Linked DNA regions of Caenorhabditis elegans. The protein of the gene in region 1 purifies or fractionates together with the protein of each later gene. This does not show direct contact. Each region holds a gene or a part of one and is shown in the gene's direction. Other genes may lie near its edges.

What was found.
Region 2: the proteins of mps-1 (region 1) and shw-3 purify together in Caenorhabditis elegans (affinity purification with western blotting, with the first as the bait; one study listed by BioGRID). This does not show direct contact.

Annotation. Positions count from the first base shown.
Region 1 is NC_003280.10:6,290,254-6,296,975, reverse strand, and holds mps-1 (MiRP K channel accessory Subunit), read left to right. Parts: upstream 1-2,614; 5' UTR 2,615-2,824; coding exon 2,825-2,904; intron 2,905-3,004; coding exon 3,005-3,152; intron 3,153-3,354; coding exon 3,355-3,444; intron 3,445-3,491; coding exon 3,492-3,598; intron 3,599-3,708; coding exon 3,709-3,858; intron 3,859-4,125; coding exon 4,126-4,324; 3' UTR 4,325-4,451; coding exon of another isoform or gene 4,452-4,464; 3' UTR 4,465-4,517; downstream 4,518-6,722. Other genes in the region: nyn-3 (RNase NYN domain-containing protein), read left to right, coding at 4,452-4,464, 4,518-4,629, 5,008-5,068, 5,115-5,186, 5,242-5,303, 5,355-5,465, 5,561-5,679, 5,738-5,952 and 1 more.
Region 2 is NC_003283.11:12,973,083-12,983,319, reverse strand, and holds shw-3 (BTB domain-containing protein), read left to right. Parts: upstream 1-2,710; coding exon 2,711-2,763; intron 2,764-6,978; coding exon 6,979-7,077; intron 7,078-7,129; coding exon 7,130-7,234; intron 7,235-7,280; coding exon 7,281-7,341; intron 7,342-7,387; coding exon 7,388-7,516; intron 7,517-7,587; exon of another isoform or gene 7,588-7,737; intron 7,738-8,049; coding exon 8,050-8,370; intron 8,371-8,419; coding exon 8,420-8,824; intron 8,825-9,010; exon of another isoform or gene 9,011-9,160; intron 9,161-9,472; coding exon 9,473-9,589; intron 9,590-9,647; coding exon 9,648-9,752; intron 9,753-9,800; coding exon 9,801-9,908; downstream 9,909-10,237.

The DNA of each region.
Region 1 (6,722 bases):
TTATTCGTCTCTATTTTGAAAATGTATTTTCTTTATAAAATAGAGACACCAATAAAAATTAAATTTTTATTCGTCTCTATTGTGAAAATGTATTTTCTTTATAAAATAGAGACACTAATAAAAATTTTAAATTTTTATTCGTCTCTATTTTGAAAATATATTTTCTTGATGAAATAGAGACACTAATAAAAATTAAATTTTTATTCGTCTCTATTTTGAAAATATATTTGCTTGATAAAATAGAGACACCAATAAAATTTTTAAAATTTTATTCGTCTCTATTTTGAAAATGTATTTTTTTCATAAATTAGAATTAGTCAGTGGGATGGTCAGTGGCATGGTCAGTGGGATGGTCAGTGGGATGGTCAGTGGGATGGTCAGTGGCAGAGCGGTTAGTTTATATAACTGGAACTTTGGGTACTCTCCGATCAAAATGTTTTCCAGGTGCTTCGTCGAATGTGGCTGCTCAATCGAAGGTACCCAAAAATGCTATGGCTGGTTTCGATGGAGTAATTTTGTACTTTTGGTCAAAGAAAGATGGAAAACGTTTCTGTAGAATCTCAACAGAGTGTTGATCAAAAAATCGGAGAAACTGCCTACACTTGAGCAGAACTGAGTTTGACACATAACCGATATACTTTTGGAAATGCAGCTTGTTGTTTACGGAAATGTCAAAGTCTTTAACTGAGTCGTTTTTGGTAATGTATGTTCAGATTAAATTTCAGGCGAGATGTACTCGCCGTCGGTTAATGACTTAAAAGGAAATGTTTTATGATAATAATTGGAATTATTGAGACTGGATGGGAGTTCTGTTTTATAGAGAAATGTAATTTGAAATTGGTGCTTCGTAACATCACTAATATCAGTTTCTGTCGAATATGAAATTTTTTTTTATTTTTTTTTTCGAAATAAATATGAATGCACCGTCTGTTTTTAACAATTTCTACCATATTCAATCTGCTACAAATACTCTCTATGTCTGTTTCAACGTCATCTGACTTTGCTTTGCTTTTTGGTCGTTCATAACAGTTGTTGAGAGTGTGAGTGTAAGAAGCGATGACCCAAACAGTTTCTCAATAATTTTCCATCTATCCAACAGGGATTCAACACGTTAACCTGAAACATTGTATTCATTTTAAATCGGGCATTGGTCTAGTTTGAATTTGAAGTGTTAAACATCAACTTTGAACAGTTAGATAGTGACTCTAGAGCAACGAGCGCCCGATACGAAACATTATCAAAGAAACGTATATTTCAGAACTAGAAACATAGCAAATTCATGCTTTACCAACTGCTTAATTCGCTTTCCTTCCTTTCAATTTTTCGCACATTCGCGTGCCTGTCAACTGCCTGATAGGCTTTCTGCCTTCTTTCTATAACCCCCATCATGCCACACACGCATTTTGTGTGGCATGATGGGGGCTATAGAAAGATCCGAAAAAAATGTCCAAAAACTACACAAACACCGCGGTTGAGATCACTTTTTTTCGCTTCCAATTGGGTTACAGTGAATTCTGTGGAATATATCAAGATATTGAAAACCAAATTGCCATTTTAAGTTTTAAAAATTTAAAATGGATACATTGTCAACTTAAGCATAAAGGATCGTTGGCTGGCAAGGAAGAAAAATCACAAAATTTGGGGGAGCTTACTTTTTTGACTTTATAAATTTTCACCAAATGTCACTTCCGTCACCGGTAACCAATCACAAAAAAATTTTCATGAAATGTTTTTTAGAAACAAGGATACTTTTATTATATAATAATGAAAATAAATCATTGGATAAATCTCATTTAAAAATCTCAATTAAGCTAAATTGAGCCTACTTGCGCGCCACGGTCGACTGGGTTTTTGAGTTTCTTGAGGTCTGTGCGGCTGTAGGTAAATGTTAAGTTTTATATGTCATTATGTTCGATTTTTTCTATTCAATAAAATGTATATATTAACTTGTTTTGATCGCTGTCCAAGAAAAAGTTACAGTTCCGTAAAGTGGTCGCCATAATTATGGACCACCCAGTAGTTATCTGAATCAGTTGATTAGTTTCCCTTCTTTTCGAAACTTTGATAATTTCTGGTAGAGCAGAGTCAACCAAATGAACATCATATAAATACAAATATTTATTCAGTTGATAGTTTTTTGGTGTATCATTTCACTAAAAAGAGCTATGACTTGATGGGTGATTACATATGAATATATGTAAGAACAAATAGTAGAACAGTGTAGGTAATGGTTTCGAGTTTGATGTTTTTTCGTTATTCTCCAAATCAGGAAAGTGTGAATAAAGTCATTACTGGTTTGAACTGGTCTTGAACTCTTTAAGTGGCTCTTGAAGTGGATCTCGGTTCAAATTTTGACTTTGTCACACACTAGTGAAAAGTACATTAGTAAATGAGTCTCTCAGTAAAAGCCAACTTTTGGCAATTTCCGATGGCGACAGTTTTTATTTTGGTATACATCAAACACAAACACTTTAATCCCTTCTTTCTCCATACTCTATACTTCCATTCAATGTCCTCTCCGATGATAATAAAAAACATGTGAGTATGTCTGCGTCTCTTCCAGAATCTGCGCACACAAATATGTGCTGCTATGGAAATGCATGAAAATCAAGGGAGGAAAGCAGTCTTCGAGAGCAGTGGCGCCAGGGCTCGTTTGTGCACCACGTCGTCTTCTTCTCATCGATTAGTGTGTGACACCTACTACAACTCATCATATTTCTGAAAGTTCATTTGACCTAATCATTTGTTTCACTTTCTGTCTGATCGTTTTAATTGATTAGTTTTTGGCGTTATTAACTCTGACTGACAGTACTCTAATCTTTCCATGCACAAAAATATCAGTCCCACGTGCCAAGAAGGCATTCGAGAAGCATGCATCACTTTGAAAAATGCTTGTGATCCCCAGTGAGTTTTGATATTTTGTGACAATTAATCGGGGAAAAAAGACAAACAAAAAGTCAAACTTTGGTATGAAAATCTCTTAATGAAAAGTGGCAATTTTCAGAGTACTTGACAAGGCTGCAATCCGAATGAGAGAGTACGAAAATGAGTTCGGTCGAATACTTTATACAATATCAATTTTAATAATGTTCTCATTTGTCATTATTCTCCTAATGGTACGATCAATTCGGAGAACACAATCAACAGTTGAGGTACGTTTGGAATTTCACAGTAGACAATCGAACTGTATGAAATTGTATGAAATTAGAGAGGACCGTAGGTTTTTGTATGTTGTTTGAAAACAAAAACCCGGTCAAATCAGAAGTTTTGTTACAAAATTTTAATAAATGTAGAAATTTTGAAAAAATGCTAATAACTTCAGTATTAAGCTACATGAAGTTCTCTATATTTCAGATGGATTCGCTCCTTGATGCTATGCGAATTCGAGAAGAATTAGAAATACAGGAACGTAAAAGAAGACGATTGATGAGAGCAAAAACCCAGGTATATTTATGAAAATACATCGAAAAAAAATTAATTCAAAGTTGTAGGTGACTGCATGGCTCGTGAACAAAAACAAAGAGAAAGGACCAGAAAAGCGAAAAGATAGCGAATGGAAGCCACTTCCAAATGGAACAAGACCAAGAGGACATTACAGGTAATTAGCAGAATTTTTTAGAGAAGTTATAATCAGGGAAACTAAAGAATTAACAGAAATGGTTTTCTATTTGCTTTTATATAACCTTTAATGAATAATTATAATTACAGCATATCAACAGTCACATCAGACATTCCGGAGATTGTAGTAAGTGCTGACGACTGCATACATTCTGATTTTCCAAATCGTCCACATACTCCTGCAATCTCAATGATTTACGATTTTGGAATTGCGTCACCGGATTTAATAGAGCCCGATAGGTGAGAAAAGATGAAAACAGATTAGTAGCCAAATATGAGACACTACTAAAAAATGGCTTTTTGGTGGTTTTTATAATATTCTAGCGGTGAAACGTTTATGAAAAATGTCGAAAGTCTTATTTATAAATGCAAAATAACAACACAATCGTATTGAATTTGACCACACCGGCGTTCTAATAGATGAAACTTAAAAATGAAACATTTCATACAATAACAAAACATATTTCAGCAAATTCAAACGAAACCTCAAAGAATAATATATTTCAGCCGTAAGCCATCAATTTCCTCTTCAACAGCAATTCCCATGTCATCTTCGTCATCTTCATCAATGAATTCATTGATTGAACCAAATATGAATTCAATAAAATCAAATCCTCGAACATATTCGCTTGACACAAACGCCTCCACGTCATCGAGAACTCCTCGTGTTGATTGTGACGATAAATCATTTAGCTTAGACGTGTAATTTTGTTCTCATTTTTATATGCATTACTTATTTATCTTCACCATCTTCATTATTTTGTCCTGTGATCGTCAAATCGATTCGATTTTCAATCAACTTGTCGTATATTTACACTGCTTATGTACATTGGATGATGACTAACAGTAATTCTTTTTTTCTGGTTAAAATTGAAAAAAAGAGAAATGAAGTATTTTAGAAACCGATAAAGAAAATGCTTATTTCAAACCACCGACTCAAGAGGCAATATCGAGACCGCTTGTCATTGATGGATGCAACATTGGAAGAAGTGCCTCTGGATATGCTAGAACGTGGGTTGTCCAGAATATTTTCTCAATTCAATGCTTCCAATCATTACAAACTTCTGATATTGTTGAAAATTGCTTGTTTTCAGTCCACTCATTAAAATTTCGATGATTTTGAGCAAGCTCTTTTGAGCAAGCAATCTTAATGCCCCACCTTGGTTTTTGACGCCAACTTATGTCATAAGTTTGATCTAAAAACAGCAGTTTGGTTCAGAAATTGGCAAATATTTATGCAAATTGTGCCAGAAATGAATAAAAGCATGCCCTTGGTAGATGTCTGGTAGATGGTAGAGATTCCGTGGACACGTGGGAAATTAAGTCGTGGCTCTGTTCTTTTAATGAATTACAAAAAATAATACGCACAAATTTCTGTATTTTTTTCAGTCACGTGGATTGTGCTGGCCTCGTCTCCGTTGTCCGATGGCTTCTTATTCGTAGATTTGACGTAATAATTTTTTAGTTTTCTTTAATTTCCCAATTACAAATTTCAGGTGACTGTTTTCCTGCCTGTTGTTTACAACAATGTTAATAATTATAACTCGAAAAATGCGGAACTACTTGCAGTAAGATAATCTTTGTTCTCTAGGCTTTTTGGATTCTGATTTTTGATTTTCTCAGAAATTGGAGCAACTTGGTATTGTGACATTCACGCCGGCTAGAAGTGGTCGGGGACTACGAAAGTGAGTCAGAGTCGGAATGAAGTCAATGTGGGCAAGTCACGTGTTTTTCAGGGCGTTTATCAATTATGATGATTTGTATGTGGTTTCGTATGCAGCCAGACATGGAGGTACAATTGTCAGTGGAGACAAGTTCAAAGATATTCTCAATCAACCGTGTTACAGGTAACATTCCTATCATATTGTAAACTAGACTAGGACTTTTTCGGCTTTTTTAAAGCTATGCATTAAATTCAAATTTAATATTACACTGGTTTTAGTGACTTCCACCACGTCATCAGAAACCGAACAGTCGATGTAAAATTCCGACCGCTAACACTCGATTTCGTCGAATATCAATCAGATCGGTTTTATCGACATGCTCCCGAACTATTCACATGTAAGAAATTATTTCTATTTTTATAATCGAACATCATCTAGAATCTTGTTATTTTCAGATGAAAACACTAGTCAACGAACCGAATCTTTGCGTCAACGACTATTTGCGTTGCCTCATGAACCGGACTATAATCTTGTGAAAAATTCGAAACGACAAGTGACTGATGAGAGGAGAGCTTACTTGTGTGCTGAACTTGAAGCTATTCTCATTTCAATGAGTTATGCAGCCGGGAAAATGTTTCGAGATGTTGCAGAATTGCCATGTATTGATAATGTATGTGTACTTGTCCAATTGCCAAAAAATAAGGAAATATTTCAGTGTTTTCATGGATTAAGAGTGGAAGATGTTGCTCCGAAGAAATTTGCGGATGCATTCTACAGAAAATATCCGAAACGAGAAGGAAGATGTGATTTACTTCAAGAATGGGTTATGGAGCCTGTTGTAGAAGTTTCTGAGAAACAAACAAATAGCAATGAACTAAGTGATGATGTTCTTGTTCCAACTCCATTGCCTCTCCCGGAAAAGTCTAGTCAATCTGTCGTGAATGTTAATAAAGGAAAAATCGAACTTCCAAGAGATCATTCCCTTGGGTCGTTGCTTCAATGGTTCACACTGGCTGAAGAAGCAAATAAAATCAAGAAATAATAATCGAAATATTGATTTTTGATTGAGATCTGTTTCATTTTTACAAACAATTCGATAAACGTTTCGATTTTTTGCATGTTTTCTTTTTTCTATCTCTCGATTGATATCTTTGAATGACCTGACGGGTGCACGTGTTGAGACAGCTGTCGTTCTGAGAGGACAGGAGACTTTAAACTATTCAGTTAGGATCTCTTTAACATCAGATACTTTTGCTTTTTTGCTCTTTCTTGTTTTCTCGAAGATTCGCAGAAGAATCAAATTTGCTGGTCTGATACATCTTATCATTTCGGTCTTGATAAGAAGTTGAAAAAAAATTTGGTGTTCGCCGAAAAAAAGTTTCTCTTTTTCCTTGATTAAATTCTATTTTCCAATTGATAACACCACTTTCTCTTTAAATG
Region 2 (10,237 bases), on another chromosome or scaffold:
ACAGCTGAAAAGTGCTGGAAAAAAGAATGAAAAAAAACAAGATTAGTATTCGGGTCAGTATGGGGAACCTCTGAAAAAAGAACGGCTCAAGGAAAAAAAATACTGAAAATATAGTCTGGCGTTGAAAATTAGAGGCCAAAGGCGGACAAGAGCAATATTTGAAATTAATTTCTACATGCTTCTTTTCCTCATCTCACTTCAAACAAAAAATTTGCTTTCTTTTTTCTTTTTTTTTTGCAAAATTAAACTAACTTGTGTTGCAAACTAAATTTCACGAAAAAGTAACACAAATTTTTTTGAAAAAGCTTAGTTTTTTAAATAATACCTGTTCATTTCTATATTTCCAAAAATTCCAAATTTCAGAATGTAGTTTCTCACTTTAAATCATATTGAGAAGTCTAAATTATATAACTGCCTATATTTTTCATAGTAAAGCTTTTATGCAGTTTAGTTTCTCTGGAAAAAAAAACATGGATTATTTTCGAAATTTGTCAAATATTTTGCTTCAGCGTCATTTTCTAAATGCCACTCAAAACATCCCGAAAAAAATGAAAATAAATTTGACGATCATTTTTGAAGTTTAGTTTACAAATCTTTTTGTCGAAATTATTTTTGAAAATTTCAAAAAATTACAGTTTTAGTGTATACCACTTTGGTAATTAAAAAACGTTTTTCAGATTCCAGTAGGTCTATGAAATTGTTGAGTGATAAGTTGAACTTTAAGCTGATGCTATAAAATAATTTCAGAAACAAAAATTGTTAACTTTCTTGAACTAATCATTTGCCAACTAACAATCAACTATAAATAAAGACGAATCCTGTAAAACAATTGCATACCTGTATATCAATCAATTTACTGTTTTCTATGTCTCCAGCTTTTCGAAACTCTCAATGAAGAAAATAAAAGTAAAGAAACAGAAAAGTACATTTCCAAAAGTGCTTGTCACTTCCAGCTCTTCTCCGTGTCCGTTTTGATCTGAAGTGCTTGCGACGATGGCGACCGAATAGCTGACTTTCTCGTGCCAATTAATCAAATTTATTCACATTCACATTCGCACACATATCTCCACCGCTTGCTCCTCCTCTTCTTTCATTCTTTTTTTGGTGAAAGCACTGATACATCCTTCTCATCTAAGAATTTGTCAACTGAAACCCACCCAAATTATACATTTTACTCGATTCATTAGATATATCTCAGTTCTCGGTTTTCTCTTTTTCCGCTTTAAGATCACTGTTCATTTTAATTCACATATATTTTTAGGTGCTTGCTTTCTAGTTTTAAAGTTTCCCACGTACTTTGCTGTCATAAAAACGTCATAATTTTGATAATAAGATATTTTTTGAGACTAGTTGACAAATTAATATGATATATACATATTCAACACTCTCTTGCACTTTTGTTATTCGCAGTCACTTCCAAAATAAAAATTTTATTAGCTGATTATTAAAATGTATCGCTATGTTCAAGCTTGTTTTTGATTTTGCATTAAATTGAACTTTCGTTTTGGGAAATTAAGCAATATTTTTTTATTATTTTTGTCTATAGAAATAAATTTAACAAAAAATTAGTATTCTTCAAAACCTCGACTGAAAATGATAACCTCAAGCTAAAAGTTTCGACGTTTTCTCGTTCGTTTCCAAAGTTTAAAAATTTACCGTATTTCTTCTATTAATATGGCTGCAATACTATTTTTCGAAGGTCTTCCCGCTTGCAATACTATTAGGGAGTGCAAGACTAATAGGGAGTGAAATACTATTTTTCAGAACATTTTTCTGTGTTGGGGCTTACTAGTATTTACTTGAAAAAACTCCAACTTTAATTTGGAAATATAGAAAATTTGATTGAAATTGCAACAAAAAGGTACAATAACTTCAATCTCATAAAAATTTTCTTATAAATTGTTGCAAAATATTCAAAAAATGTTATTAAAATCTTAAAATTAGTAAGGAGGGTTTGCACCAAAAAAAAGTAGGTGCAAGACTATTAGGGAGTGCAACACTAATAGGGAATGCAATACTAATTTTCGGAAGGTCTTTGAAGGGCAATACTAATAGGGAGTGCCAGTCTAATAGGGAGGCCAAACTAATAGAAGATATACGGTAAAAGATTATAAAATTAGAAGTGAAGATGTTACTAAAAAATTGTTCTCTGTAGGTTAAAATTCTAACTTGCTTTTTCAATAAACCTAAAACTTGCCTGGTAAAACATTTCCCCCGTTTCCGGGAATTTTCCTCAAAATATATCAACTTTTAATAGCAAAAGTGTTCTGAGACACTGAAATTGATATCCTGTGAAACAGCATCTGACCACTAAAACAATTATCGAAACTCAGACGTTCAATTTTTCCATTTTACAAAAATTATAGCTTGAACACATTTTGCAAAATGCCGAATGACAGATTCAACTTTGAACAAATATTTTGCATTTTGCATTTCCTTTAAAAAAAAATCTCCCAGTTATTTTGTCAGAAAATGGGGTGACACAAGAAAGAAACTTTTTTTGAAAAGCCTTGTTTGTTGCTTTCTCATTTATTGCCGTCGCCGGAGGCCTCTTTCCGAATTGTTGCCAGGACACCTTTTCCTAGTTTTTTCGTTGATTTTCATGTCTCACAACTTCAATTTTTCATTCTTGATCGAAATATTCTTCGTTTCAATTTCTGCTCTTTTTCATTTCTTCTTGATTTAGTATTTTTGGATCGTCCCCCCGTCAATGTCAATTCGACGACGGAACAATAATGGAACAAGTCCGTCGACCGCATTTGGGTAAGTGTTTCAAACAGGAAGAAATTTCAACAAAAAATGAAAAAGCAATTTGCAAAATGAATGGGAGCAGTGGAAAAAAAGTGAAAATGAATTAGATATACTGATGCTCTCTCTCTCTCTGCAAAAAAAGAAGATGAGAGAATAAAAATTAAATTGAGAAAAGGGCAGGTTACAAAGCTCATTGTCCTTTTTTTGCCAATCATTGTGAGTCTAAAATGGGCGACAGCATTCAAAAATTGTGAACTCTAGATTTTCGGCTTAAAAACTTGCATGCCGTGTTCGTAATTGTGTTTGTAGTGTTGTGAGCTAGTTGAGTGAATTTTGCTTAACAATTTTAAAATTCATAATTTTTTATTATAATGTGTCACTGTAAATAATACTTTGGATTTTTTTAACCATTATTTCCCACGATGAGTTATCTGAACCGGTTTATCGTTATCTGAAAACTCATAAATTTTACCAAGATTTCTGCAAAATACGGCTGATCTTACAACAAGTCAGTGTATTAGAGGGCGCAACACTAACTTTCGATTTGCTCCTAGGGCTGCAATACTAATATAGAAAACACGGTACATAGTTTTACAAGGTGTTATAAATTACAGTTATTTTTCTAAAAGTTTTATAAGAACCTCTTAAACTTGGACTATTTAAAATCTAAACTTCAAAACATTTTTTACAGCTGGATTTTTAACCCCGATGCTTTCTAACAACTTGCTCGCGTAAATCTTATTTTTCTTAGCTTCTACCCTGACAAAAGTAATAAACCATTTTCTTCAAAAATATCTGGAATAACAATAATAATAAAAGGGTAATAATCCGGTGTGTCCACTCATTTTTGCACCAACTGCTTCCTTTCCTCGGTGGCCCACATCTCCTTCATTTCCTTTATTCTTTCTTTCCCGCACTCTCGTCATGCGCATTCTTTTTTTTTCAGTCGACACCTTCCAAAAGAGAAGTGACAAAGTACATTTCCGTGTCCTTTGATGAGCAGCAATTAATGGGATGGAAGACTAGTGAGGGTGGAGGTGAATCTAGGAGAGATTCTAAATGTAGCCATGAATATAAATATTTGCTCACAAGTATTTTCTTTTTTCGCCCGGAAGTATCGCTTGAAAATCTTCGAGATCTTGAAAATCTTACTATTAGGTTCTTATAAAAAATGCTTCTTCAGATTCTAATTTTCGTTCTTACTGCACGTTATTTCCTATGTTTTGCTTTTTCGTCTAATCTAGTAGTGTCAGATTCTCAATTTGCTGCTGACCTTCTCACTTTTCATACAAATTCTTCATGATTCGGTTTTTCCACTATTCTCTCCCTCTCTGTCTCTCTATTTCTCTTCCTCTCTTTTTCCTTTTTTCACACTCCAATGCGGCCACCCAAATTGTATTTTCTGATGATATCTCCATATGAGCCACAGCACCAGTTACAATCTTGCTCAACAAAAATCATTTGTTTACCCCAAGTCACAAATATTCTCGAAAATTGGAACTAAATCTAGAAAGGCACTTCTTTGGACAGAAATATAATTTTAATCTGAACTTCTTATTTGAAGATGGAGTATTGAGAGTAGGGAAATGATTTGAAACCGCTCGTATAGTCCTAAAAATTCAAACTTTGCAAATCAATTTTGCAAAAATTTTGTTAAATTGTTATAAATCTCAGTCAAAAAGTGGAGATAACTCAAAATTGGTTTCAAAATTTTAAATGCGTTTCAATTTTTGTATTTGAACATTCTAGAACATTCAAACCTGCAGCAATTCTTAAAATCACTCAAAAAAAACCGCATTGTTGGAAAAAGTTGCCAGTTCTTCCAAAATTAGAGTAAAACAAATCGAAGAACAGCTACACAGCTAAATTTCAAAAAAAAACGGAGTATTTTCTTACATTAGGAATAACTGATTATAATCAAAATAGCCTGAAACGATACGAAATCTAAAAAATATATAAATGAACAAAAAATTTTTCAAGATAACTCAAGCATCTAATTGTCTAACAAGAAGTAACTCTTTTCCTTTTTCTTCAGTTGGCACCATCGATAATTACGTACATTAAGCCGAGTCTTCTCTGTCCGTGTCCTGTGTGTCTCATCATGATCCATGTACCACCTTCTTCTTCTACTACTACTTCTTGTTCTTTTTCCTCCTTTCTCGAAGTCCTCTTCCTACTCTCTATTTCGTTGTCCTGCAATCTAGAGTATGTGACAAAACATATCAAATTACCCGTGAACGATAATCTCTCTTTATTTCGTCTCATCTCTCTTTTTGCTCTGCAGAGGATCGGCTCATCATCCACTTGTTGGAATGTCTATTTTCACCGCCATCGCAACACTTTTGACAATTCAAAAAAATAATTTGTTGATGTTCGCTTTTTCTGTCCAACTGTTTCTAGGTGACCGAGTTCTTTTGCTAGAAAAGTCAACAAAAAGTGAATTAGCTGGCTGTTGCTGGGGAAAAATGTGGATTTGAAATATTTTCGGTCACATTTCCCTCTCGCTTTGCTTGCTTTGAATCAAAATTTCAATAGGTACTTGCTTTTCGTGTTTTGAGACTATTTGGACTTTCTTTGTGGTATTTGGGTGTGGGGTTTATAAGTTCAACGTTTCGTTTTTTCTTGCCAAAATGTTTAGTAATGATAATGCAATCGTTTCCAGACCAAAAGGCGTACAATTGTAGTTTTCTGATTTCGGAAGTTAATTGTATTTTTGGAATGTGAAAAACAATCCGGCAAAAACATTGAACACCTCTATCTGGTTGATACAATTTTACGGTGTATTTTGTAATAAAAAATAGAATTTAATAAATATAGCTGATCAGAGCGAAAAAATACAAAGAACCACATGGAGTCATATTCAAAAATCTATAGAAATAGTGACGTAGGAAATTATAAAATTATACATTATCCGAAGAAAAATAGCTTACTCAAAAAATGTTCATAATCAAGATCGACCAAAAAATATGTTTTGAGTTGTTATGTGAGTTTATAAGAGTATAATGTAAACAAATATTTATCCATGAAAATCATTTTCTTAAATTTGAATCGTTTTCTAATAGAGCATTTTTATTAAAATAAATCTGTAGGTTTAAAAAAAATTGTTTTTAAAACGTGACCTCCAAAAGAACTAAAATAAATTTATTTTTGTTTTATTGTCGAAAGTTTATTGTTGAAATTGTAAACTTGGGAATCTGCCTCGCAATAAGTATCCGTACAACTTACTTTCTAAACTAACTGTGGATATTTTTGATATTATAGGTTAACTTCAAACTTCTTTTTTTTCAAATCGAATAGATGTTTTTCTACATTTAAAAATAAATTTTTGCTCTAAAATGATATGCACACTGAAATTAGCAGTTTTGTGGATTTACCTAGAAGAATTTCCTCAAAACCTTTGTAGTGATACTAGAAAAATGCAGAAAACTTATTTTACCCATATCAATTCAAAATTTTCGGAACTTTTTCACGAGTACCGAGCCTCCCAATCTTAACAACTATCTGTAACTATACATCTCACGACGCCTCTCCTTTCGTCTTGTCTCTCATTTTGGCGTATGTGATCAAATTTTAATGAGGAAGCGGAAGGGACCACAAACATACAAGAGCGGGAACAATGGAAGCAAGAAGGGTGGGACGGGAGAGACATAGGAGATATGGCTCCAACTGGGGTGGTGTTGGTTGTGTGGCGTCGGCTGCGGCAAAAAATAAGACTGCTCCTCTGGCCCTTCATTCTCTGCTCTGGTGGCACGCTTTTATGATTGTTATTATCCGGTCTCAACACAACAATTCATCACGCTCCAGATGCTGCTTTTGTGCCAGATCTCTTGAGCCACCAGAAACAAACTTACAAATTTACGATTTAGATGCATTACGGATAACTTTTGTGAACATCCCCCTCCTCCTACCGTAGTCGACTCCAAAGTGATATGTTTTCCGTCATTATGTTCGGGCTTATGTGCATTTTTATGTACGTCTTGCTTTCTCAACAACAGCTTTCTAAGTTTGATATCACTTTCTGTATATTTAGCTGAGATTAAGCGTCCTTCGAAGGATATACAACATACTGAATTACGTCTAGTGAAAGGCTTAAAAGTTAACTAGTAGGCCTGACTGAAAAACTTGGTTTTTGAAATCCAAAAAAACATCAATTATACATTGCTCACTAGTCAGTTAACGTTGTTTTTTTTTCATTTGCTTACAGAAACAATTTTCTAATAATTACAGACAGACTGTCATGGACAGTGAATACCGGATCATACTCAACGTGGGTGGTGTTCGACACGAAACCTATAAGCATACGCTTAAGAAAATTCCAGCTACACGGTAAAGTAACAATTATTCCATATTTCTTTCTAGCATGATTTTTTTTATTCAGACTATCCCGGTTGACTACAAATTTGGCCAATTATGATCCAGTTTTAAACGAGTATTTTTTCGATAGACATCCCGGAGTTTTTGCGCAAATACTAAATTATTATAGGTAACAAGGCACAAATCGCATTTTCGATAATTTTTTTGAGTTTAAGAACGGGCAAATTGCATTATCCTCTTGACGTGTGTGGACCATTATTTGAAGAGGAGTTAAAGGTAAGAAGATAATTGTTAAAAGATAAGAAAATACATTATTTTTTAGTATTGGGGACTTGATTCAAATGAATGCGAACCATGCTGTTGGATGACATTATCTGGTACAAGAGATACACAAGATGTGCTCAAAACATTAGACGAGTTGGATATTGAAGTTGATCAAACAGAAGGACCTGTAAGCTTTTTGTATAACAAGAGAAAAATGCAGAATTTTAGAACATTTTTTATCCATTATGATTCATTTTACAAAGCAATATAAAAGTTTTTGCGACTCCTAATCAAAAAAAAACCGGCATACTAAGTACAACGTGAATTTGGTTGCTATGTCTGCACATTGTGGAGTAAAAAGTAATCGAATGAGATCGTGGCGAGACCCACCGAGAAAAAAACCGTGCCTTTAAATTTTAAAGGCACAGTTTTAAATTTGAAGTGTTCCTATTATAGTTTTTTTTGAAATTTTGAAGCTTCATTTTAAAGTTTAAAATGAAGCTTCAAAATTTCAAAAAAAAAACACTATAATAGGAATACTTCAAATTTTTCGAGGTTTCAAACTCGCTATACTTCAGATTTTAAAGTAACTATTATAGAAGTAAATATTGGTGCCAGATATCTCTCAGATAGTCAGAAAAATTCTATTTTTTACCAATTTGACAATAGGCTTGGTCTAAAAAAGTCACGATTGGCAAAATTAAAACTCGAAATTTTCAGGAACTGTACAAACGATTTGGTTGGGAGGATGACTATCATAATGATAGTCTCAGTGCCTGGCAGAAGATCAAACCTCGGATTTGGAGGCTTTTCGATGAACCAAATTCATCTAGATCAGCACAATTTATAGCAGCTATTTCTGTATTTTTTCTGATAACAGCCATCATTGTTTTCTGTCTGAAAACCCATCCTGGTTTGAGGATCCCTGAATTAGCTCCATTTGGAAACTTTTCGCGGAATCATCGGAGTACATCTTCACGAATACATCCTGCACAGATAAACATTGATAAGGCCAATTCTAGGCCTCATCCAACTTTTATGGTACAGTATACAGAAAGATTGAATATTTAATATTCCTTATACTTTTCAGTACATAGAAACAATATGTAACATTTGGTTCACGATTGAAATTCTGGCAAGATTCTCTTCATGTCCATCTCGTTTTGAATATCTTCGTGCACCTGTGAACATTATCGACATTGTTGCCACTTTGACATTCTACATTGATTTATTATCAAGCATGTTTGGAGCAACTGCAGATCTTGAGTTCTTCTCCATCATTCGTATTATGAGACTTTTCAAATTGACTCATCATAATTCGGGACTCAAGATTTTGATGCACACCTTCCGAGCATCAGCAAAGGAATTGATGCTACTTGTATTCTTTTTGGTATTGGGAGTTGTTGTATTTGCATCACTGGTGTATTATGCAGAACGGGTGGAAAGTAATGAAGATAATCAATTTGTGTCAATTCCGATTGGATTGTGGTGGGCGGTAAGTTGAGAATGTCTATTTATACTCACGTTAAGCCCTTTAAATTTTGAACTCAATATTTTGAAAGTACCTTTCTCCTTTTTTTTATTTTTTGAGTTGGATGAATGATTCAATTTTTCAAAACTATTTTTTATAGTTTCCAAAAAATTTCTGTACTGCGTGCCCACTTCTAAACATTCTTTAAAAAACAATTAAATGTCTGGAAATAACGTATTACGGGAACACTACGTTTTGAGGATGCGTATTGCGCAACATATTTGACGCGCAGAATATCTCGCACCGAAAACTACAGTAGTTCTTTAAATGACTACTGTCGCATTGTTTTTCACTTTTTTTTTCTGATGAAACATTGTAAAAAAACAACGAAAAATAGGAGGAAAATTAAATATCGTTGTCACAATTAGAAAAGAAATTCGTTTCGAAAGTGCAGCCTGTAAATTGACATCAGTGTTATAATAACATGTTACAGTAGACATTTAAAGATTTACTGTAGTTTTCGCTGCGAGATATTTTTCGCGTCAAATATGTTGTGCAATACGCATTCTCTGAATTTTACATTCTCGTAATATTTCTTGTTACAAATTCTGAAAGTAAAATGAAACCTTTCCTTGTAAAAATGAAACATCAGAACAAAATTCCAATTTCCAGATCGTCACAATGACAACAATTGGCTATGGTGACATAACACCTCATACATATCTGGGCCGCCTGATTGGTTCGATTTGTGCTCTCGCTGGTGTATTGACAATCGCTTTGCCAGTTCCAGTATGTTTTCCATTTATTATTCAAATTAATGTTGCCAGTTTTGAATTTTAATTTCAAGGTCATCGTCTCTAACTTCGCCATGTTCTATTCCCATACACAAGCTCGTTCAAAGATGCCCAAGAAAAGACGAGGAGTGCTCTCAATGGATCAAGTTGCTCAGCATGTAAGTAAAATATTCTAGGGGAGGCATTCGTGTATTTCAAACTTTCAGGTAAAACATGCTCCGGTTCGAAATTCCAATGGACCAACGCAACGGAAGAATATGGAAAATACACCACTTGTATCCAACAACCATACACCGCCACATACCTTAATCTAGTTGTTTCATAGCCATTTTTTCCCTCAAAAAAGTTGTGACCAATTCATCATCATTTCATCAAACCCCTGACAATGACGAGTATTAGATTGATCTCAATTTTCTCAGATTTCTCCTTTCAAAGACTTTGCTAGAATAAATATTTATTATTTTTTTATCTGTCGCGAACAAAATAGACAGATCAAAAGAACGGTCAAAAAAGAACAAAACAGCAAAAATAACCAATTTAAAACTTGTGAAAAGAGAAGAGAGTAATTATTTTGGAGAACGAGGAGATTAAGGTGTTACAAAAACTTACACTTTCACGGAGATACCTGAATTTCATTAAAAAT